Caenorhabditis elegans: one gene and its partners. Changing the gene in region 1 together with any one later gene gives a genetic interaction. Each region holds a gene or a part of one and is shown on either strand. Other genes may lie near its edges.

What was found.
Region 2: of zfp-1 (region 1) and hmp-2, a change in one rescues a mutant of the other (synthetic rescue), as found in Caenorhabditis elegans (one study listed by BioGRID).
Region 3: of zfp-1 (region 1) and glp-1, a change in one rescues a mutant of the other (synthetic rescue), as found in Caenorhabditis elegans (one study listed by BioGRID).

Annotation. Positions count from the first base shown.
Region 1 is NC_003281.10:8,795,586-8,802,743, reverse strand, and holds the start of zfp-1 (Zinc finger protein zfp-1), read right to left. Parts: upstream 4,347-7,158; 5' UTR 4,280-4,346; intron 4,212-4,279; 5' UTR 4,190-4,211; coding exon 4,081-4,189; intron 3,886-4,080; coding exon 3,630-3,885; intron 3,350-3,629; coding exon 3,259-3,349; intron 3,212-3,258; exon of another isoform or gene 3,210-3,211; coding exon 3,099-3,209; intron 2,259-3,098; coding exon of another isoform or gene 2,043-2,258; intron 1-2,042. Other genes in the region: F54F2.6 (uncharacterized protein), read left to right, coding at 2,043-2,258. UniProt on the Caenorhabditis elegans protein: Recruits the histone methyltransferase dot-1.1 to chromatin to methylate 'Lys-79' of histone H3 and activate transcription. Recognizes and binds histone H3 methylated at 'Lys-4' (H3K4me) at the promoters of target genes.
Region 2 is NC_003279.8:14,736,221-14,744,258, reverse strand, and holds hmp-2 (Armadillo/beta-catenin-like repeat protein), read right to left. Parts: upstream 5,378-8,038; coding exon 5,322-5,377; intron 4,691-5,321; coding exon 4,629-4,690; intron 4,572-4,628; coding exon 3,909-4,571; intron 3,802-3,908; coding exon 3,637-3,801; intron 3,297-3,636; coding exon 2,305-3,296; intron 1,914-2,304; coding exon 1,737-1,913; 3' UTR 1,603-1,736; downstream 1-1,602. Other genes in the region: K05C4.5 (WD_REPEATS_REGION domain-containing protein), read right to left, coding at 1-676, 1,382-1,494; K05C4.7 (Armadillo repeat-containing protein 1), read right to left, coding at 5,637-6,413, 6,464-6,556; K05C4.4 (Leucine Rich repeat-containing domain protein), read right to left, coding at 7,475-7,798, 7,844-7,959, 8,003-8,038. UniProt on the Caenorhabditis elegans protein: Required for cell migration during body enclosure and cell shape changes during body elongation. Plays a role in recruitment of the cadherin protein hmr-1 to adherens junctions.
Region 3 is NC_003281.10:9,089,795-9,099,559, reverse strand, and holds the start of glp-1 (glp-1/Notch intracellular domain), read right to left. Parts: upstream 7,320-9,765; 5' UTR 7,248-7,319; coding exon 7,108-7,247; intron 6,248-7,107; coding exon 6,132-6,247; intron 5,492-6,131; coding exon 5,429-5,491; intron 4,910-5,428; coding exon 4,001-4,909; intron 3,701-4,000; coding exon 3,460-3,700; intron 3,155-3,459; coding exon 2,419-3,154; intron 2,012-2,418; coding exon 1,539-2,011; intron 1,489-1,538; coding exon 405-1,488; intron 354-404; coding exon 228-353; 3' UTR 1-227. UniProt on the Caenorhabditis elegans protein: Essential signaling protein which has a major role in germline and embryonic development; involved in cell fate decisions that require cell-cell interactions. Probable membrane-bound receptor for putative ligands lag-2 and apx-1.

The DNA of each region.
Region 1 (7,158 bases):
GGCAAGAGGATATGCTCACGATTCTTATTTTGCGCAGAGAAACCGAAGACATAGAGTATAAGAGAGTACAAAACGGAAGAGACGCAGACGATTAACAATGACCCACTTTTTTATGTTTTTCATCATCTTCTTATTCTTCTTTCTTCGTCGGCAAGGAGAAGAAGCAAAGAGAAAACGAGAAGACACTTTTGATGAAAAAAGAGATAATCGGAACGAAATGAAAAAAGATACATAAACTTCCACACCTGAACCAAGATAAATTCAAGAAATTGTGAAAATACTGGGAAGCCCTGTAAACGATAAGACAGACAAAGTAAAATGATAAGAAATCAACTTTGAAAAACGACAAAATCGGGCGATTTCTATTCTTCTCTTCTCTACATCTCTTTCACTAAAGTTATTATTGGCAGCAAGCCAACAAAACCGTGCGCCCAATGTTGTGAATGACTATGCGTATGAGAGTGTATGACCGACCACCAGCCACCCTCCACAGGCTGATTGAATGTTTCTCTCTTTCTCTCATTGTGCACGTCACTCTCTCTTCTTCTAACTGTCTTTCTCTCTTCATATCCTCATTCCTTATCGTCGTCTGATTCTCCAAGGTTTCTTCGTCTCGATTGCGCAAAAGAGACGCAGAGTCTTAAGCATTTTGCTGCTTTGGAGACATACACACATCTATGCGCGTAGAGACACGTACACACACAAAGCCTTCAGTCACAAAAATGAGAAACACACAGCAGCAGTCGCAGCCACAGCATCGCCGTCTCGGGGCCAGGCAGAGGACACCGATCATTCACCAGTCATCGAATCGACACGGCAATAGAAAGAGGGTGGAAACAAGTGAGAGCGCGGCGACACGACAAGGATGCCTAAGGCATCATTTGATCGGAAGAGTGATCAGACATGCAGACAAACATCGAAGAGTCCTCCGATCGGATGATTGCAACGGGAAAAACGAAGGGAGTGCAATCAACAGAGGCGACAGGGGTAACAAGTGAAGGATAGGAAGCGAGTAAAACCACTACCAGCACTCCGAAAAAACGAAAACTTGTGTGTGTGTGTGTGCCTGTGCGGAGGAGGAGGTGGAGAGAGAAAACGAATCGAATCGGCGACGATCCTGCGAAGGACATCAACGACGACGCGACGACAATGGCCACCGCCGGTCGACCCAGCGCCTGGGCGCCCACTTCTCCTCCTTTGCCTGCATTTGATCAGTACGATACAAAAATGTCTACCGGGTTGAGAGGTGCGCGGAAGTAAGACAACAATGAAGGATCCCATGATTGATAGACTTAGAAGTTGAAGATATTCGGAGAAGTGTAGAGACCAGCTAAAGGGAGACTTAGATATTGAAAAGAGACGGAACAAAACATTGCTCAGTGTTTTGGAAAAGTTTGTGCTGAATTTTGAAAAAAAAAACAAAAATTTGCAGCGTCCTCATTAGTAAAAAGAACTAATAAAGATTATTAGACTTTTTCAAAAAAAACTAAAGGGTTTTATGATATTTGTTACCGTTTAATTTAAATTAGGTGAATTAGAATAACATCAAAAATTTGACAACCCCCGAGAACAATCAAGACATTCAACTTAGTTGGAAACAGGCGAAGATCGTCTTAAGGTGAGGCAGGCAGGCGGTGAGGCCTATATGATAGGCCTACTTTCAAGATCAAAAGTTTAATTTAGATTTAGAAATAATTCTGTGAATGTACCAAAATGTAAAACAAAAATGTTAAATGACAAAGTCTAGAAAAAAAAAAAAAAGAACATAGAACTACTTCAGGGAGACGGAAGAGAAAATGAGTGAATGTCTCTCTTTGGCGACAAAAAAACTCCATTGACGGAAGACGATGAGAAAGGTGACATCAAACACAACGAGAAGAGGAAAGTAGGTGAGAGAGTGAGTAGAGACGTAGAGAGTTAAGCAAAAACCGTAACAAGTGAGAAAGTGGGGAGATGCAAGGATGATGTAGCAGGAAAATGTAGAGTATGACGTGGCGACGACTATATTCAAATCTATCGAGTATTCGTCGAAGAAGAACCAAATGAAGCACAAGAGAATGATGTTGCCTCACTATGTGCGTGTGTATGTATGTGTGCGTACGGACGGAGAAAACGAAAAAGCAGGACAAAGCGAGGAATACGACGATGACGATAAAGAGGAAAATAAGAAGCGCAGACGAAACAACGGCCGCCGGGGGCCACCCGAGAAAAAGAAGTCCAGAAGGGGCGGCGAAGAGCAGACGCAGAGAATCATCTAAGCTTATGAAATTGAGAGAGAGAGAGACACTCTATGCACGTCTCTTTCTCTTCCAAACTCGCTTGGCCCGACAGCAATTTGTTCCTTTTTGTGTCTATGTCTCTCCGAGTTCTTCGTCTATCTCTCTCAGTGCCCCCCCCCCCCCCGAGCACTATTTGTCGTTGTCACACTCAGTCAGCCATCCATCCAGCCAGCCGTTGGCCCAACCCATTTCATTTCGTCTAAACGTCTGTACTCTCTTCTCTCGTCTATTCCATCTTCTCAAGTGTGTTGTGTTGAATGGATGGTGTGTGTATGTGTATGTGGAAGCACGCGGACCTCCTTCGACAATGTCTCCCTCTCTCTCTCAACCTCTCTTTCGGTTTCTTTTTCTCAGGATAAAGAGATTTTAGACGCAGATATGAAAACAGGACGGAGGACGTCTCTTTCTCCATCTCTATCTCTTTCACTCTAAGAGTGAAGCGCAATGGCTGTGTTGCTATTCCAGGGTCCCAATGCTGTGACTCAGAAATAGAGTATCCTGAGAAGAGATGCAGAGAAGAAGCGGGCACACACGATTGTATTCATATTTTTACTTCTCTGAATCTCTAATACTCCGTACAATCTCTAGTTTTTCAAGAGACAGGTGTCTATCCACCTGGTCTATCAAGCATCGGACCTTCACAGCACCAGTATGACTAGGGATTAAATATTTGAAATTGATGGGTACTGTAGTTCTATTTTTATTTTCACTTCTATGAAAAACCAAGTGATAATCTGGCCTGATTTTCTTAAAATATTAAGAAATCGATTTTAATACTTTTTTCTCAATTTTTAGCGCATAAATCTTCAATAAACATACCGCTTTCTTCAAATGATTTTCACAATAACCACAATACTTGACATTCCGACTTATTGCCCCTTCTTCACATAAAAGTCCTTTCCGCTGAGCACAGGTTACGTGAAAGCTCCTCTGAAAATTTCGTTTAAATTACAAGAAATTTAAAGAAAAATAAAAATACCTTGCACGTCGACTTGTTACACGACATACATGCACCTTTTTTCGCATCATTTGGACGTTCTTCATTGCAGATGTAGCACAGTTTATTGAATCTATAAAATATATAAATTGATCGAGATAGTAATAAAACTTCAAGATTTTTTCAAAGAAAGAGTTTAAAATGTTTAGATTTTTTGTTGTTGTTTTTTTTTTGAAAGTCGAAAAATCGAAAAACTGGAAAAAAAATTTCGGTTCAGAAATGTACCGGAAATTTTTAAAATTTGAGATTTTCCAGAGAGTCAAAAAATCGAAAGTCGAAAACTCAAAAAATATTCACCCTTGATCAGACACATTTTTCATATTGAATTACCCATATTCTTGAGAAAAACTTACTTATCAGTTGGTACATCATTTAATATGACTGGTTCCATACTATGTACGTTCCCAAATCGCACTTCTGGAATGTAAAGTGCACAAATTACATGAGCCCATCCGTTTCGATCAGTTTTTTTCAATGCTCCATAGTCAAACGGACACAATTGACAACAAAATGTTGCCTCATTTATACTGCCGGGCATCATAGCTGATGCTTTCGTACATTTTGCACAAAACCATTCGCCTTCGGGTACTTCTTGAATTCCATAACATCCTGAAATGATAAAAATTCGGTGGGGCCTAATCGGAAAATTTGGTTTTTTGAGAGAAAATCGAAAAAAAAAAATCAAATTCATCTAATAAGATGGAAAAAAGCAAAACTTCAAACAATGCTTGGAAACGTTGGATTTTTTTTCGAAATATCGGGAAAAATACTAAAATTTTTCAATTTCTGTGAACTTCTACTCACCCTGATGTACTGCAACTTCACAATTCTCTCCATCACAATAGATCAATGGATTGTCTGTCCAACCATTCTCATCTGCACAAACGCAGCATCCACCTACCATCTCCTTCATTTTTCAGCAATTTCGGGGGACTCTGTAAAAATAATTATCCATTTGAGAATACAATTCACAAATTTTCCACAAAAATTCGAAAAAACTTACGATAATTTTTTTTGGGTTACTGTAGCTGGTCAAGAGGTCAGGCGTGGCTCATTTGTATGGTGATGTGCTGTAAAAATTCGGTAAAAATTACGCAGAAAAGGGGAGATTAGAGGTATATTGCCGTAAATTATTGATTTATTATGGCCGAGCGACAAATAAAGAAACAGAACAAATAGAAATAACCTAATTTCGGAGAAAAAAGAACGTTTAACAATTATCTATAATTGAATGCGTATCAAAAATAGTATTAAAGTTTCATAGAGATATTTAAATATTAGATTCGGAAAACAAAATAAATTGAAGAATGTTTTGCTTTATAAAATACACTAAAAATCCATTTGAAAATATCAAATATCAAATTACGAAACTCTTCAGAAATTCATTGAAAAATCTTTTATGGCCATTCAAAATTTTGCATAAAGGCTAATTCTTCAAAATTTAGAATTTTAGGTAAAACTGCTATAAAAAAGTTTGAGGAATTATTGAAAAGTTTCGTTATGAATTTCGGACTTTTCGGGCCAATTTGAGTGAACAAATTTTTCATTGAAAATTTAACGCCGAGCATTAGATATTTTTCTCTCAATTTTTGAAATAAAAGAAAATGGAACTGTACAAAATTTCGTCACAAAAGACAAACGGCAGCAGTCAATCAATACGACGAATAGAGGTCATTCAAAGACAAAAAATTTTTGCAGCGTCTCTCTTTTCTCTCTCCTTCTTATTATCGGGGAGCGGCCATCGATTCGATTTTCGATTCAGTCAAGTCAAAAAAGTTATGGGCGTGAATGAATGAATATACATTTAATAGTGATAATCAAATTGAGAGAACGACAGAGAATTACAGATTGTGTATGGAAGAAAAGGAAGAAGAAGAAATACACTGATAACGACGACATCGTCAGTGTCTTTCTCTCTCTCTCTCTATCTCTCTCTCGTCACCAAACCACCATCACAATCTTCCCGATTTGAAGTCTTTGACAATGAGAGAGTATTAGACACAGACAACTAGTAGCCTACAGTAGGAGAGACCGACATCACGTTCTCGTTTGGAAGAGAGGGAGAAGCAATCGAGAAGAAGAAGAAAAAGGAGGTGAAGATAGACACATACAACTTGGCATCGTGCCAAGCATGCATGAATTCTCACAGGGGCGCAGCGACGTCGGCTCTTCTATGTCACATGCACACAAGGAGCACATACATACAAACAAGAAGGGGAAGCTTTGCTCCTTTTCTCTCTAACTTTCTGCGTTCCAGTGCTTTATTTCATATAGCCGTATGTTTTAATAAAATTAGTTGAAAAGAAAATAATATACGGATCGGAAAATATAAAAATTTAAATGAAAAGAGTCATTTGGATGCTTAAAAAATCGTCCAAGGGCGAAATAAAGTTAATAAACTTTTATATTTTTCTCTAAACCTCGCCTAACATTTTCTACCACATAACCTTATAAAAATTAACATTGTATTGTCATTGAAAAATTAAATATTGAAAATTAACGGTCAAGGTGATAAATATAAATGGAAAAGTAATCAGTATCATCATAGACACAGATGTGATCGGATATACTTCGGGTATCGAGAAAAGAAAATTTACGATGGGGTACTTGCATAACACAAGAAAATCTCTACAGAGGGGTCACGAAGGATTACGATAGTCAAGAAATCATTTTATTGATTTTTTAAAACCACTTGGGGAACAGTTATAAATTTAATTTAACTAATGGTTATTGTGTGAAATAAAAATTTCTACAGAAAATTAACATCTTTAACAAAAAGTTTTTAAAATTAAAAAAAAAAATTTAAGAAGCAAGAGAATTTATTAATAGAACTTCACTGGTTTTTAAACATTTTTCAAGGCTAAAAATTCTTTTTTGATGAATCAAAAATAAATAAATAAATTTTATCGAGGATTTGTTTTCTAAATTTGACTATAAAAATTAATAATGAAAAACCATAGAAATTATATTAATTTTCCGACAATTTCCTCACTGAAGATATCTAAAAGGTGTTCATAATGACAATAAGTGTCAGAGACCAGAAAAAATTGGGTCGTCAGACTGACGATAGTAGCCGAAAGGAACAGAAAATCGGCACAAATGTCTCGGACAGCGACAACACGGTTTGTCTTTTTCTTTGTGGGGCGACAAGGCGCTGAGCACCTGACACTTGACCCATCACATATCGATCGGATTTAGACCGAATAAAGCCTCGAACAACATCGACAAAACGAGAAATGAGAATGACGACGACGTCCGTGGAAGGAAAAAAGTGGAAAAACAGAAGGAAAAACAAGACTTGACTGGGAAAAGCGAGAAGTAGATGGAGAGGCGAAAAACAAGTGTAACTTTTGATTGAGTGTGTCCCAGCTGTGGTTGAGAGTATGGATAGATGCAGACTGACTGCTGAATGCATACATACACGCGACGAGGCAAAAAGAACAGAACAGAGAGGAGAAGAGGAGGACGAGGACGAAGACGGGATGCAGCAGACCCTAGTGGGGGTCTCTCTACTACCATAGCTTCTCTATGTCTCTCATGCGAACCCCTCTTCGCGTTTCTCTATTTCTCTAACACCTCTTCAGGCTGTTCTATTTCTCTTTTGTCGTCGGGTCGCACTCGCGTATGTCCGATGTGACCGGCTATTCAACTGGCGAGGGATACGGAGACGTAGATTACTTTCGCGTCTGATCCCTCCGACTATCTATCCATCTCCCTCCCACTTCCAACACACAGCCACACACACCTCAAAAGAATCCGTCTTTCCCTCTTGGGGTCGTCTTTTCTTCATCGATTGGACATAGTAAGAGTGTTAGACTTAGAATGTAGAGGAAACTCGCGGTGTTCGATGAGCAAAAGCAGTGGGAGCAGATCCTGCTCACT
Region 2 (8,038 bases), on another chromosome or scaffold:
AGTCTCCCGGAGCTCAGTGATTCTTGGATCAACGCCAGCGATATTCAACGTGGAATTATCAGTAGAAACCATTGCGAGAATATGTGATTGAAGACAGGAAATCGATTGAATCAAAGATCCATCAATTGGATTCCAAAAAGTGACAGTTCCACGAGAATCTCCACACGCTAACAGTGAAGGTTTGACGAAGAGAACAGACCAGGCAATTGTTGGATCACGACGGTTGAGACGATCCAGTTTCAGAGTCTGTTGAACTTTTCCGTCGCCAGCAATAATTACACCATCGATTGATCCAATTGCGACGATGGTTCCATTACTTGAAACATCGAAAAGTCGACTTTCAACTCCCAGAGATATCGATGAAATTATCATCTTCGTCGAGACATCGAAGAAATAAAGAACAGAAGAGTGCGAAATCATTGCAATTGTGTTCTCCGTATGCTTACAAGCCGCCCAAATCGTTGACGCCGAAATTTGAATTCTCTTGATTCTTTCAATATTGTGTGGATCGATGAAACACACTGAACCATTTGCATGTGAAGACATCAGTTCTCCATTATCAACGAATAGAAGGTGCTCAATTGAGCCATTTTCTGGGCATACGGTGAGTTCTGGAATTGCAAGCCAGCTGCTAAGGATGTTGTAGAATTCGATGTAGTCGTGGGTTTCCGAGGATCTGAAATATTTAGTTATATGTATTGATTTATGATGATTTTAGGGGAAGTAGAGTCAATTTTTTTTTGCTTCAAATGACAGAAAATATACCCTATTAACCGAATATAACTGTAATTTTTTTTTAATGTTCTAAATTTTTTAATGATTTTTTTCAATTCTTCAATAATCAAATAAACGGCCAAATTAAATTTGAATTCCCGCGCAAATGAGTGATGCGTTTTCTGAATTTTTCGGTTTTTCTTGATTTTTCGTTCAATATTTGATTTATTTGATTTAAACCCTGTTTTTCAAAATTTGAAACCCTTTTCCAAATAAAATATATAAATAACTATTAAATTGTGGAATTTTAGGCAAATTTGAAAATTTCCGCCAATTTCTCCAAGGTTATCAAGTTTTATTCACGGAAAAGTACCTGAAAATTTGAGAAACAGAGTTTAAAACTAAATATGTGTAAGAAAAATCAAGAAAAACCAAAGAATTTAGCCAGAAAACGCGAGAATATAAACAAATTACGTCACTTATTTTCGCGGGAATTCAATTTTTGAAAAATTGAAAAATCATAAAAAATTTAGAACATTTTTTCAGTTATAATCGGTTATTTGGGTATATTTTCTGTCATTTTAAGCAAAAAATTTGTTTTGACTCTACTCCACCTTTAATTTTTAATTTCAAAAATCATTTTTTCCAATAAATCCTCCGTACAAACCTAGATTTCCTCACAATTGCCATTTTTCCACTATTCTCATCGATGGCAATGTGTCGAGCCGTCCGGCTTATCATTCCGCATCGGATTTTCTGCTTTTCAAGGCAGATACTCATCTGGAAATTTTTCGTTTAAATTGTCTGAAATTTTTTTTTTGAAAAAATATAGGAAAAAGGAACCGAAGAACCAAAAAAAAGATACGTATAACATTAGATAGTAGGAAGTATAAAATTACATTTATAATATAAATATATTGAAAGTATCAAAAATTAAATTTAAAACCATGAATAATAATTCCCAGTGGATATATTCAGCAGATTATGTGTAAAAAATGCAAAAATACGAGAAGATAAATTAATTACAAATCGGTATCGTACCAATTGTGATTAGGGCGCATTTGTGAGTTGTTCAACGCCATATTAATGGATTCCGAGTGTCCGCCGTCGTTTGTCGGATACATTTCAGCGAAAAGCTCTCGTTCCAGCCCATCACGTTGCCAATCCGCAGCACTTCCACTCATCTCGTAGTCGTACGACTGAAAATTCGGAATTAATTCATGAATGGCTCGCTCGAAAATCGGAAATTTATGTTGAAATTTTTTTTTCTATTTTTCGAAAAAAAGCTGAAAATTTGAACTATTTTCCTTGTTTTTAGAACAAAATTATATGGTTTTTCTCATCAACATTTGTCCATATGGACAATATTTCATTAAAACATTGAATTTTTAAAAAACTTTGAGGCCCCACGGATTCAAGATCCGGTGGGATTCTAGATCTACCATTTCCGGATCACCGTGCCAACACATAGAACACATTTTTTCAACGATCCGGAATCCCACAATATCTTAAATCCGTGGTGGCTCAAAAGTTTTCTTTCGATTTTTCGGTTTTTTTACGGAAAATTTATTTTTTTTCCTAATTCCTCACATTAGACATATTCATGATGGCAGCTGAATCTCCTCTCTTCAAATTACTCAACACTCCATTCGCATAAGTGACGACTGATTTGTACTGTGAGCCACGAGATTCCATTAAAAGAGCACTAACTCCAGTACTCTCAACAGCACGGGCTCCGTCTGGCCGCTTGCTCAACTGATAGAGAAGCCCAAGAATCTCGCGTTCGAGAACTTCATCATCCATGGATCCGAGTCTCGGATGAGCCAGAAGACGATGGAGAAGATCCAAGAATGGTGGACATTCTGGATTTCCGACTTGTCCAATATCATCACAGCATGCTGCAGCGACTGCCGGATGATTCGCGAGCTGATGAAGAGCCGAGACAGCTCCTTCGATGACTCCCCACATTGGAACTCCATCTACAGCAATATCAGGATTCTCCTCAATCGCCGTGATAGCTCTTCTCAAGATATCCATTGTCAGTGACACAGCTGTATGCCCATTTGCAGTTTGTTCTTGTGTCAACTCGATAAGATTTGTTTGAAGAAGTGCACTATTTCTAATAACTCCGAGAGCTGCCTTGATAACTGGAGTACGAAGAGTTTCCAGCTGATCCAAAATCACTGGGAATGCTTGACAGAATCTCAGCTCACTTTGAGCTTCTTCAGCCAGTGAGTGCCTGGCAGTACAGTGCCGAAGAGCACAGAGAGCCGGTTCGGTGACTTCTTCAACTTCAGGTAGTCGGCGGATCGCGGTGACGAGAGCATCGATTCCCCCGTGAGAACACACGGTTTGCTTGTTTCTAGTGTTATTGCAGGTGAGATTGCTCAATGTTCCACACGCGCAGGCAGTCATTCCATCGTTGGCGACACGAATGATTTCGAGAAGCTTGATGATCAGTTGAGTGAGATTTTCCTCGTTTGTCGCAGAATCCGACAGATTTCTCATCGCCACTAGAATCGCCGTCTGGGATCGCTCGTCTTTTGCGGTGCAGAGCTCCACGTAGAGAGCAGGAAGGCAGCCTAGAAAAAATTAATATTGAAAAGTTTAAATTTCTGAACTTTTTTATTGGAAAATTCTCAAAAAACGCGCAATTTCAAAGTAATTTCCTGCTGAAAGAGGGTAAAATTGGAGGTTTCAGCGAAACTTTGAACCACCGGAACAAAAATTTTGAAATTTGTTGGAATTTCGTGAAAGATAAAGGAAAATGTTTAAAAATTGCTTCAAAACACTCGAAATAGCTGCGAATTTCAAGTATTTTCAGCTAAAAATCTCAAATTTCCAGCTTTTCAGTGGATAAAAACCTGAAAATATCTCTAAAAATGCGATATAAAATAGTTTTTAATCAAAACATCCATGTACCAAGACTGATCAACGCCGGTTTGTTGCTCGGACAAACGGACAGGGATCGAATGCAACGGACGACGGTATAGATGAGCTTCCGATGATCCGAGTACTCGCGAAGAATCGAAACCAAGATCTGTGGTCCCAACAGTGATAGGAATGTGATCTTCGATGGAGCATCGTCTGCAAAATTGACCGATTTTTGAAATTTTAGAGTGGAAAATTTGAATTTATAGCTTTAAAAAATGCAAATTTGTACAAAATTCTTGATTTTTCCAGTGAATCCTTACCGATCAACAGGAAATACAACCCATCCGCCACTTGAGCCAGCAGCTTCGGATTCGTCTTATGAAGGTGCGGAGTTAGCGCCTCAACGGCGTTGAGAGCTCTCGCTTGAGCTCTGGAATCAGAAACATGCATCAGAAGGTTCCGAAGTGTTGTCACAGCATAGTGAACAACTGATTCCAGTGAATCATAGAGCATTCGAATGATTTCAGCAAGCCCTCCGCTTCTGAAGATCAGAAGAGGTCCTCCACGTTGCTCAGACATGTGAGACAATGCTCCAATCGCATTCCGACGGACATTCACGTTGGAACTCTTCGACGCAGCCATCAGAGCTTCCACAAAAGATCGATGATCGAATCCCGGCGCATTGAAGAAGTTCGGATCTTCCCTTGAGAGCATATAAGCTCGATGAACAGCTCTAGCAACCACTGACTCATCATGATCGCACATAAGCTTCACTAGATCCGGAAGCGAGAGTCCTGACATATCGTTTGATCCTTCGTAGGTTAGAAGATCCATAACTGATTGCTTCAGCTGTTGAGTTGGCATTTGCATCATTTCGACGATGCTTGTAGTTGAATTTGTGGCTTCTGCAGCAGAAGTTGGTGGAATCCAGTCGGGGAACATCGCTGAGCGGATTCTAGAGGTTCGAGTTTCGACTTCATGGTCTGGAAATTAATTTAAATGAAGAAATTTCGAAAAAATTGTATTTTTTTGTGTTTTACCAGTGAATATCGAATAAGAGTTGGTAGAGTGAAGAAGCATGGTTGTTGGGAGTTCACAGCTACTGAAAATTATACTTTTTAAAGGAAATGGTGAGTTTTAGACGAGAAAATGCAAAGAAATTCGATATTTTAGGTGCTGAAACTATCAAATTTCATGTGGGAGCAGAGAAAAGTCATTTTAAACAGGAAAAATCCACAAAAACTAAGATTTTTTTAAAATTAAATTTAAATTTAATAAATTTATTTCGAGTGGAAAAGTGCGAAAAATCGAAATTTAGAGTAGAAAATTTAAAAAAAAATAGGATTTCTAGTTGAAAATTGAGGAATAATCGCATTTTTCGAATCAGATACTAGCTAAAAAGGAATTTTTACTTTTATGGCTATTTTGAAAAACATTCCACTATTTTGATACTGCAATCGTCAAAATACGAGGTTTCAGGTAGAAAATCGAGAAAAATCGCATTTTTTGAATCGGAAACTAGCTGAAAACGCAAAATAAAGATTATCACTTGGAATTTGTGCTTCTGTGGCGATTTTAAAGGAAAATTATTCTATTTTTGGTGTTGCAACTGTCAAAATACGTGGTTTCAGGTAGAAAATTTAGAAAAATGGGTTTTTTCGAATCGGAAACTAGATGAAAACGCAAAAACAAGATTTTCACTAGGACTTTGGATTTTTAAGGATATTTTATACCGATAAATTCCTCTATTTTTGGTACCGCAACCGTCCAAATATGAGAATAATCGCATTTTTCGAATCTGAAACTGCCGAATAGATAATTAGAGCTGGTTAAAACAGCTTAAAAACACATAAAAATCAAGAATACGAGGATTTAAAAACCAGTGTGAAACGATTTATATGCCTGTGCGGTGATAATACCAGAAAGAGATCTCAAAAAAAACGAGAAACAGGAGAAAAAAGAAAATATTGAGATAACAAAGAAGAAACCGTAGTACTTTAATACATTTTTTTTCGAGATTTTCCGAGATAATCCGAGAATTCCTTCCATCACCAGAGGGAAGTTTTGACGAATGAAGTGATCGAACTGAACCATCCGCCCTCTTGACCACTTCCATGGGCAGCCATCTCATTAGTTATCACACAACTTGCCGGATCCACGTGAAGCACATCATCATCCAAATATTCGGGGTAATCTTTCGAGTTTTCCGTGATTTTGCCCATCTCTGACGCGTAAAACTCGAATTTCTCGTCGATTCCGTTCACTTTCACTAACTGCGCGACGTACTCGAATCCGGCGGCGGCGAAAACGGACTGCGCAATGTCCTTGGCTTCGATTGTCGGGATTGTGCGGAGCACGGCGCGTGGAATTGAGTTCTGCTCGGTTATATATACACTGATTACTCCTTTTTTCTTCAGAAGGCCTCTCTCAACTGACAGCTTCTTCGTTTCATCGAATTCCTCCGCATCGAATTCCATAATAATCTGCTTTGACTTTCTTCCAACGAATTTTCGGTGAAGAGTTCCGCCCTTGTCGAGCTCTTTGATCGCATCGGCTAGAGGCTCTTTCTCGGCTCTTTTGGCATCCAGCGAATTCTTCACTACTCGAATCCTACTCGAGACAAGGACCAAGTTATAGTTGACACTGGGATTTGTGATATTTTCGCAGGCTTCCGACAATGCTGGAAGTAAATCTGCGGATTTCAGCAGTTGCTCGATGTTCCCCGACTGCTCTGTGAGCAAAACGAGGATTTTAACCGTGTATCTGATGACATCGGAGCTTTCGTCCTTGAGGAGCGTTGGGAGAGTGTGGAAAAATGTTTTGTCCTGGAAGAAATTTAATTTTCATGTGAATCCTGAGTGAGCTAACGACTTACCTTAAGCACGACTGCTCGATTCTCCGGCTTTTGGCACAGCTTGTAGTACGCGCGAATCGTTTTTATTTTGTCGGCATTTACGACTTCAGTCATTCTGAAATAAAAACCTTGATTTTTAACGAAAATTTCGATTTTGAACGACAAACTTTAACGCAAACAACCAGAATAGCGATGAAATACTCAATTCTAAATGTGAAAAACAAAAAGTGGATAAAAATCGATAAATTGAGGGGAAAAGAGAAAATGGAAACAAAAGAAAATGTGGGCGGAGTCACACGATGAGGCATACCGCAAGTGGTGCGCACACATTTTGCAAAGGGCTCGCACACAGTTTTCCTTCTCAATAATTATTACTCGCCATTTGGGACGCGAAGTCTATGCCAAAAAAAATTTAACGCATCATGCACATTTTGAGGGAAAAAAATAAATTACGAAAATAGTATTATGTAAAATATGAAAAAAAAAAAGAAAACAAATTCCACCCTAAAATTTTCGCCATTTTCAATTTTTTGAAGCTGCAGCCTGAAAACTAAAAGATACCGAGTGGGAAAGTGGAAACATTGCCGTTTTTGAATATGAAACAAACATTTCAGCGAAGATACATTACAAACCCTTTTAAAACAACATAGGAAAACCAATAATCACAGAAACATCAATCAAAAATGCGAAAAAAATATGAAAAATCGGTATTTGGCTGAAAAAAAAAATTTTCAATCGAAAACTTGCTAAGCCAATGAAACTGAATACAATGTTGGGATTAAATAATATAAGGAGAGATAACGAGATATATATATATATATATATATAATTTACGAAATAGGTATTGTAACAGTAAAAAAAAAGGAAATTTTCATGTCTTCTTCGGTTGCATTTGTTTCAAGCTTCTCTCCTGATAACTGATGTGACGCCAGAAGCTGCTGGAAGTGCTGCTGGAAGGTTTATTATCCTCATCTTCAAAATGTTCTTCCAGAGCTAGTGGTGCCATCTTTTCCGGTTTATCATCAATTCTCTTCAACGTCGGGATTCTTTTGAAAAAATAAGTTGCAAAAGATCGGGCAACTCGAAAATGCAACTCGAAAAGGCAACTCGAAAAGCAACTCGAAAATTATCCGACAGCTTCAGATGCGTGAGCGATTTCAGCGACAGCAAAGGAAATGTGCAGTTCATTGTAAGAAAGTTGTTCCGCAGGTCGAGATGTTCCACATTTACAACTTGTTTAACCAAAATTCTCGTACATTCCTTGATATTGTTGTTTGAAAGGCCGAGAACTGTGCAATTCGGCAGGTAAGGAAAATTGCGGAGACTGTTCAAGCAATGGTCCCGGGCAGTGAATTTCTGGAAAAGAAAACAAATTTCAAAATTTGATCAACCAAGACATACCTTAATACCTTCCAGATTGATCGATCGGAAGATTTCAAGATTAAAACAGAATCCGCTCACATCCAATGTGTCCGGGCGGACTTCAAGCAATCTGTTCACGGTAATTACATCCAATACTGAAAACTTTTCTCATCAGGCTATTACGGTTTTCACACCTACCAGACATATCTTGTACCGTTGAGACGTATTGACCGA
Region 3 (9,765 bases), 290 kb from region 1:
ATCTGATTTGGATCAATAATTATTCTACAACTTATAGCTTACAATATTAGTCTAGAATAAGAAAAATGACCCGAAATAGTATACAAAAAACTCTGTGGGGACCAGTGTCTGGGTGATGTAGTGAGATGAGCATATTTAAAATGAACCGAGCAGTTAGGAGATATGTTGGGAGGACAAGAAACATCCGGGATACAGTCAATAAATGAAAAATTAATGAATTAAATAGATTAACAGTAGAAGGAGCCATTCATTTGCTCTGCATTTTGAAATGCAGTATTTGGAGGCACATGACGATAGTTTGGATCTTGATAAGGAGGTGGTGTAGTATACCACATCGCATTGACCGGTGGTGCCTAAAACAAATTATTTAATTTTCTTAAACATTTTAATAATCATCTACCCACCATTTCATGGTTAAACATGTACTCCGGACTTGTTTCCATTCGATTCGGTGTCGATGTAGTCGTCGGATAATAATGTGGAGACGGAGATGAGAACGATCCATCAGACGGTGGTGGTGTCAGATGATTTGTTTCGCGAGACGATGCTGCACTTGTTGGCGTTTTTCGAGATCCTGCTCTTTTGATATTCTTCACAGTTTGTCGCCCAGACTTAGCACCATGACCTGACTTGACTATTTGCTGTCGCATGATATCATTACGATGCCGTTCGTTTGCCACTTGGCGAAGAAAAGCCGCAAGTTCATGATGGTAGCTGGCTTCAGCAACTTGAGCAGCAGTCATGTCCATTGAATCGACTATACCCAAACTAGCATCATTAAGAGCCAAATATTGCACCGTCTTTTCACATCCTTCCTTAGCGGCAAGCATTATCGGTGTTCTTCCGTCTTCGTCCTGTTTGTCCTTATTAGAGCTTCGTCGGACCAGCATTATTACCATTTCCTCGTTATCGTGCATCGCTGCGTAATGAAGAGCTGTTCGTCCTTTATACTTGTTGGAATCTTTTCTAGCAGCACCATCGTAATCAAGTTTTGCTCCTTTTGAAAGAAGAAGCTCTGCCATCTCCACTTGATGTTTTCCGAGTTCACGTGCTACTAGCATCAATGCAGTCATACCATTCCGGTCCAATTCATCAATTTCTTTGAGAAGACGTTTATCAGTGAGAAGATGCCGCAGAATACGCAGATCCTTGTTGACAACAGCCTCATGAAGGGCACTTCGCTCCGAATTATTGAATATTGTTGGATTAGCTCCTTCACGAAGAAGCACTACGGAAAGTCTGACACGGTGTGCACGAACAGCTAGCATCAGAGCAGTATTCTCATCACAATCTCTTGCATTCACATCGGCTCCAGCCTTCAAGCATCGAATTGCCTCTGTTGTAATGACATCTTCCGGTTTTCCTCTGACATTGGCAGCAAGCCAGTGCAGAACTCGTCGTCTATACTTTGAATCCACTTGATTGACTGACTCATTTGTGATTGGAGCTGTAATCGCATCTGGTCCTGCAGCTTGAACATGGAGAGGGCTGAAAGAAACATAACAATAATTATAATAAAACTATAAAGATTCACTCACATTTCGTCGGCTGGTAGATCAGCTGGTGCGAACGTCTCAGATTGAAAGTCAAAGTTCAATTCGTTGTAATCACCGGGATATCCATTTGCGAGAGTTTGTGGATAAATCTGTGAATATTGTTCTCCATTGTAGCCGGTACTATAATCGCTACAGTGTCTCTTGGTATTGGGGTGATAGTAGGCAGAATTGTCAAGAAGAGAGCACTGACTCGAATGATTTGACTGATTCCGACGACCTTTCTCGTTCGTTGATTCCATCGGAGGCATCCAGACTGTTGCGTTCACCATTTTTCTTTTTCTACTTCTTTCTGGACCATTCTTTGCGATAACACCAGCGACAACAGTTCCAAAAGCCAAAAATGCAATACATGCAAACAGAATAACTTGACTGCGAGACCATCCTTCATCGATTTCGTTTCTCTTTGGAACAGCTACCATTGCTTCCGTAATTGGGAGACCCAGAGACATACGACCCTGAAAATGTTTTAATTATTATTTTCCATAACTCAAACAATTAAAGGTTCACCGCTTTTTGGCTCGAAATATACTATAAAATTTTTCTAATTTTTAAAAATTATATTTGGTCATTTTATCACCATAAAAATAGATTTTAAGCCCCACCAGTGCTGGGACTTTTTGATATTTTGACGAAAAATTGTTTTTTTGGTTTTGGATTCAAAAACTAATTTTCTGTACTTCAAACATTTTTTTATGTTTTACAAATATTTTTAGCAAAACGCGGATGATTTTCTTCTAAAAAGTGAAAAGTGAACCGGAAATCTACCTTTTTGGATTTTTCACAAATTTAATTTTTTTTGTTATTTCGGTCCAAATTATTTTGTTTCCAGCCCGGTGCCGTACTCCACATAAAAATAACTTACATCAGACTTCACAAGTCCAGCAGCAATCAAATCAACGACACTTTGCGCTGTTGAAAATCGGCAAAACTCGGGTTTACATATTTCTTCGACTTCCAAATACAAGACAATTCCAGTGACAACAGCTTGCCGATACCTGCGAACGTGATGCGAAAGTACAAATTGATCTTCGAGCTTGCTACTATTCATCTCAACTCTTTCCATTTCATGTTCACCATCCCATCTGAATACAAGAGGTCCAAGTTCATCCCGTTGAATACGTACGGTTGCTCGAAGATTTGCACTGATTTGCATTAGTGTTTCTCCTCCGGTAGCTTGGAATTCAATAGGATCAATTTGAACTTTTATACGAATATCACTGAGGATTATTGCTTCTGTTCCGTTATTGCAATCTCCACCGTCAAAACCACATCCAATGAAACTGCATTCTAAATTACAAACTCCATCGCCTCGTCTTTCAATACAATGTTTCCGAATATGAGCTGGGCATCGAAATAACTCTGATTGACAGTCCAATCCATCGTAAAGACATTCTTCATTATTGCATTCCTGATTACAGACTCCATTTGCGAATTGATCAGCACATCTTGCAGGGTATTGACATTTGGAGAATGGTCTTTGCCCTCCTGAGCAATCACCTCCATCAAAATTACATTCTTCCAAATTGCATTCCGGGTTGCAAATACCATTGGAAGCAAGATCCATACACTTTCGTTGCTCGCATAGATCACGAATGACACTGAAATGTTCACATTTAATACCTTGAATACAAATTTTGAAGGAATTTTATCTTCATCGTCATTATACTCCAAGTGGCTCAAAAAAATAATTCCAAATAAATCATGGCAGTTCAAATCTTGGAAAAAGACAGCCTTATTTTAGCTAAAGAAATTTTATTTAACACCTTCCCCGTGTCACACAAACCGAAGCTGGCAAAATTAGAGATTTGAGCTAAAATTAGGTATTTATTTCATTGAAACCGCTTTTTACTTCAATAAATTATTTTTCTGGGCTGCATTCTTTATAGTATCCAAGAAAACTAACGTCTCTTTTGATTTCTCGATAACTAGAACTTCTTCACAAGTGGGTCCAGTGTATCCATATTGGCATTCGCAATATCCAGTATTCTTACAAACTCCTCCGTTCTTGCATGGATGTCTGGAGCATAACTGTCTATCCTTTATTTCGCAGTAATCTCCAGAGAATCCGTTGGGGCAGTTACATCTGATAACGCCATTCACACCTTCACAAGTACCTCCGTTAGCACATGTAGTTGGAGTGCACACTGAAGTTTGTTGATATTAAGAATGCTGCCTAGTAATCTTGAGCTAAAAATACGGTATCAGGTCTCGCCACGACAAAAATTTTGTTAAATGCGAAAAAATGTGCGCTCCTAAAGAGTACTGTAGTTTAAAAACTCTCCTTGCTCCGGGATTGCCATTGATTTTTCAAAATTTAAGTCTGTGTAGTCTATGTAGATTTGATGTTAAAAAGCTGAAAAATTGATGAAAATTTCACCGTTTGAAACTACAGTACTCTTTAAAGGCGCGTTTGTCGTATATAAAAATAAAATTTTCGAACTTACACAAATGTTGCTCGCAGTTCAATCCATAGAATCCAAGCGGACAATGACATGAATATCCACTGTTTTTGAGATCGATACAAGTCGCATTATTCACACACGGATTGTATTTGCATGACTGAATATCTGGGAACTTGAAATCTTTCCTATTAATCTCACATCGATCTCCAATATAATCAGGTTCACAGACACAGAAACCATTTATACATCTTCCATCGTTGTAACACGTTCCATTGCTCCGAGAGCAGTGTGGTCTCTGTAGTGGAAGATCACAATGAATTCCCCCGAATCCTGAAGGACACTCAATCTCACATCGTTGTCCAGTGAATCCTTGTTCGCAATAACAAATTGGCATCTGATTCGAGTCATGGGCACAGTATCCATCATTTTGGCAAACGTAATCCTTGCACATGTCGATAGCCTCCTCGCAATACTTTCCAGCGTATCCAGGTTTACAGGTACAAGTAAAATCACCGTGCAAATTGAAACATGTAGAGTTGTTAACACACGTTTCTTCGATGAGGCATTCGTTTTTATCCTTATTGCAAAATTCTCCCTCGTATCCCGAGTCGCATACACATCTGAAGTTCTTGTCTTCATCTCTGTTCGGAATACATCTTCCATGATTGCAAATGTTTCCCATCAAAGCACATTCAGTTCGTTCACAATATCGACCGGATTTTCCAATTGGGCAATCACAGTAATAGTTGTATACACTATTGACACACGTTGAACCTTCTGCGCATTCATTTTGAGCACAATGATCGATTCCTTCTTCACAATACGATCCTCCATATCCATTGTTGCATATGCACTGAAATCCACCATAGAATGGATAGCAGAGTCCGTTGTTGCAAGGATCCGAATCGCATGGATTTACTCCCGAAAATAGAGGAGTTTTGCAGTCAGGACCTGAAAATATTAATGTATTAATCACGGATAGGCCTTTGTCTTCTTTTTAAAAAAAGTGGAATTTAAATTCAAATTCCGGCGGAAGTTTGTTTTTCCTAATAGCCATTCACACCTCATTACCCCCAACCGCCGATTATTTCCTTTGAGATGAGAAAGGTGTCAATCTCATTACGGTAAAATAGAGAAAAAGAACACGCAATATTTTGATTTATTTGAGATCAAATCGGTTCCGACAACAGATGGAAAAAGTTATCACAGTGGGAGACTTGGATCTCGCGCATTTCTTATTAGAATATGTTAAATTAAATTAAATATATTTAATTTATTTTTTACTATATTTTTTAAAATCTGATAATTTCATTGGTCCTTTGTGTTTTCGAAAAATATAAAATTGAAAAAAAAACAATTTTGCAACTTTTTAAAAATTAAAATAGCTGTCAATTGTTGCTCAAAACAACAATAATTGTGATACAAAGTCATTGACTATTAGTAATCATACATTATCCAAACTTTACTCACCTCCATAGCCTTCTTCACAGCCTTTTTGAGTACGTTCTGTTGGAGGAGTCTCGTCTTCGCAATCTGAATAATAAAACTTATAAATATTTTCTCATGGCTGTCTGTGTAACAACATCTGCTTGATTTATACTACTGCCCCCGCGCAATGAAACCGAACATTTGCAATAAATCGCATGACAAAGGCGATGAAGATGTGCGAATATGACCTAGTAGAAGCTATCTATCACTAGCGGTCATTTTGAGAGCGTAGAAATGAAAAATAGGATACCACGAATGCGGTACAATTTGTCAATGTTGGGATCTCCCGGGAGAATTATTATACGTATGGTCGCGTGTTTTCCCTAATAAGTTTTCGAAATTTTGATATATCCTGAAACAAAAAATTGCGTACAAGTCGGGCACAATCAAAGAAAAATACACTCGCAGTGTGATGATGGATGATGTGGTGAAAAAGATTGCCGCTATGAAAAAGGGCAGATGAAGAAAAAGGTGGAAGTAAAACATGGAACAAAATTTTGAATTTGAAACGTTTAAAATCTTAAAATGATTGATTAGAATACACTTGAATCGAGATAAAGTATTTATCAAACTATGCAAAAAGGCGATAATTTGATTTAAAGATTTGAGAAGTCCCATTATGAAAATAGGTCGTTTCGGGCAAAATATTATGATATTTAACAGATTTTAGGATTCACAAAATTACCTTGACAGATACACGTCGGATTTTCACCATAAACATCGTAGATGCACTTCTCGCCTCGTTTACAATCCAAATCGCATTCACGTTCACAGAAAGCACCTCCGAATCCTTTTTTGCAACTGTAAATTTGATTAAATTATTTTTAAACTGAAAAGTAATTCAATTGAGACAATTTATGACTGTGGGCCAGTGGTGGGTGACAATCAATAAATTACAGTATTTTTAATCAAAAATCGTGGCAAAATATATCGATTTACTTGAAAATAACAATTTTTCAGCTGATATATTCGTGAAAGTGATCAGAAAACAAATCTCGATAATTCACTCAACAACTTTCAGACAATTTTGGACCATTTTCTCACATTTTTAAGCTGAAATAAGTGTTATTTTCAGATAAATCGAGCGATTTTATGTATTTTAGAGCATCATGGCGCAATTTTCCTATCGATAAATACGTTGATACTCTCTGTATAACTAATCAAACGAGCTAGATAGTAATAAGAAAAGACAAGATTAAAGAACCGACACGCTAATCCAATTGTTTTATGAACGTCCATATAAATTCGCCGACAACCCTGGGAAGATGGCTGTAAACGGCTGTAAATTTTGCCTTTGGAACTCAAAGTTATTGATAAGAAAAATGAATTGTTTGTAGAGAAAAGGGAAAACTAAATAACAATTTTTTAGATTTCCCGAACGATTTACGAGATTTTACATTGTGACAGCCTCCTGCTGTTCATTGTGTTCCCATTCTGCAAGCCGGGTGGCGTTTAATGATGTCTTAGAGGGAAATATGGACAGTGATAATTCAACTTTCGGATATTATTCAAAATGTTCTCTACACCAAGCTTTTGTTTATCTATCGCCTGTTTCCCACCACCACCACCTGCCCAAACTTTCTTTTTTTTGTTCTTTTCGTCACGGTTCATGAGAAAGCGGATGAATAACATTGACATGGGAGAATGAAATATATGCTTACCGGCACCAGTATGTCTCAATCAGTTTTCCATTATAGCATTTTCCATTGACGGAGCAAGCACCTTCCCTTCCGCATTCTCCACCCATAAGTTGACTGGCGATTGGCGCAAAAAACGCGAGTAAAATTAGAAGAACTCGCATTGTTGTGTTCGCTGTTCGAGATTCTGTTATTATTAGTTGTTAGAGCAGCTCTTGGTGTTATTGTACATGAATCTGAAAGAAAATATGAATTAAATCAAGAGATGCGGTTAAGCGAAAAAAAAGAACACTTCAGCATTATCACAAAAGTACAAAAAAAGAACGGAGAACAGGAAAAAAACGAAAATGGAGAAGACAAGGAGCGACGAATGAAGGCCGGGTGGCATACTCCGCCCATTTTCTGAGTGTGTTGCGATTGTCTTGACACCTGAGATGGGCGGTCCAAAAAGAAGGATAACAGTACTTTTTTCGAATAGGAACACTAGAAAAAGAACTGTTAGGATAAATCGGAAAACTCATTGATTACATTATTTTATTGCCTATCCGACAGCTGCATGTTGGTTGCGAAATGTGGAGAAAACAACCAATTTATGGCCTTTCAATTGATCATTCCCGTGAAGAAGAAGTGGGGAAAACGATTTACATAAGAAAGTGAACGAAAAACTTTGTTAGAACGATAAACGGAGATTTGTTTGCAATGATTTACTTGGAACCTATTTTACGCCGTTTTCAAGCGATGAATATTCCGAAAATAATGTGATGGAGCTAAATAAACTTATTACGATCTCATTTAAAATATTAGAAATACAGAAAAATGTTCTTATCGTGTCAAAAAAAGAAAAAAAAACAAAGAAAATCATTTTAAAACTCAAAATAAATTTTGGCGCCGTGCACAGCTCGGAAGTCCGCAATTGACGACCGTACCCCTTCGCTTACCGTAGTTCTGATATTTGCTTATCTTTTTTAAATATTATTCTCAAAAACACACACAAAACTTATCTGAAGATTAAAAATACGAAAAACTGTATTCATGTTTGAATAGAAAAAAATCTACAGTATGTCTGTAAACATTATTTCAATATTCAGTCAATTCTGGAATAAACAAATTTGCTCTGCTTCTGGAAATGTTTATACAAAGAAAAAGCGTTATTGTCGGCATACAATACGGAATATAAAGGAAAACGGAAAAAGAAAACCGAAGTGCTAAATCGATAGTGATCACATAGGCGGTTTCAGAATAATCCACGTTTTCGTGCAGCAAGTCGTCCATTGTTCTCGAATTTGAACCTTCCTAAATCAGTCCGTGTTCTAATTTCCCGTACCTGGCCACATATGAACACAAATTATATTGGTAGAACATATGGAAACAAGGTACACGTGTAGTTATTGTCCGATAAAATGATAGTTTTATGACTCATAGGAAATTTGAATCTAGGAAGATTCCACGCAAAACTGTTGGTCAGATGCAATTTTTCACGATTTTTCGAAAAGATGTGCGCCTTTATGGAGTACAGTAATCCATTTCGCAATTTTCTTTGAGTTTTTCACTATATTTCTCTCGTTCACAAAGATTTTGATGGATTATATTAAATTTCTCGTTTTTGGGAGAAAAAAGTAAAAATCAAAGGCAATTTCAAAAAAAAAACCGGAAAATGGTTACTGTGCTTCTTAAAGGCGCACACCTTTCCGTCAATTTAAAATATTATGTTCGTGGCGAGATACGGGGCATACCGTATTTCTGCGTGGGAAATTGCAAAATTTTGTCAAAAAAAAATTTCTTCCAAAATAAGTTGAAAACTCTCACTGGACCGGACGTACAAAACTACATGTTTCTCCCAAAACATTGTTAATGTTGTTTCTCATACTCGAGGTTACCTAGGTATTCAAAACATTTGTACTGAAGAAAAAACATTCAGCATTCGGAAGATAAACTATAAGGTCATGTGAGAAAAGAGAAAAAGTATTGGGGATTCTGAATGTTTCCATAAAATGGGTTTTGTACAGCACAAGGAGTTAGGATTAATTTTACAACTTTAATTGAATTTTTAAGCAGTTGTGGATATTTTCAAATTCTTAAGTTTTCTGATTTATACCTTTTACTTATACGGAACTTGCTAGAATTAGCCAGGTGGCTGAAAATTTTGGTACCACCTTATAAGGTCCTAATGCCTAAAAGATAAATGAAGAGTTGCTGAGAGTAATTGGTGTATCAAATTGGGCTATAGAACATATGTTTATTAAAAATTGAACGGTACGGTATTGAATTTTGAAGATAATTTTTTTTCTGAATTTAATATTTTCTTAACATCTTAAATTCGATTTATCAAATTGACATTTTGAATATTCTGAAAGTTAAATATTTAATGGCTATGAGAAAATTATTATTAATTAGTAGATAGAATACGATTGCGTACCGGAAGGACCTTAGCACAAGTGACGTGGTTATCTAACTGGCTAGTTAGATAACCACGTCACTTGCCTAGGTTCCCATGACTTGGAAAGTTCATGACCGGATAAATTTCAGACAGGAAGACGTGCATGTTATTCTAATTAGTCACTGCTGTCAATTATATGATTCAGGTGTTCAAGTATAATGGTGTGAGAAAATATTGCATGTACTTGTAATCAATGCAAGTACATATTATGTTGTACTTGTATAAATTAGAACGAATTCATAGGG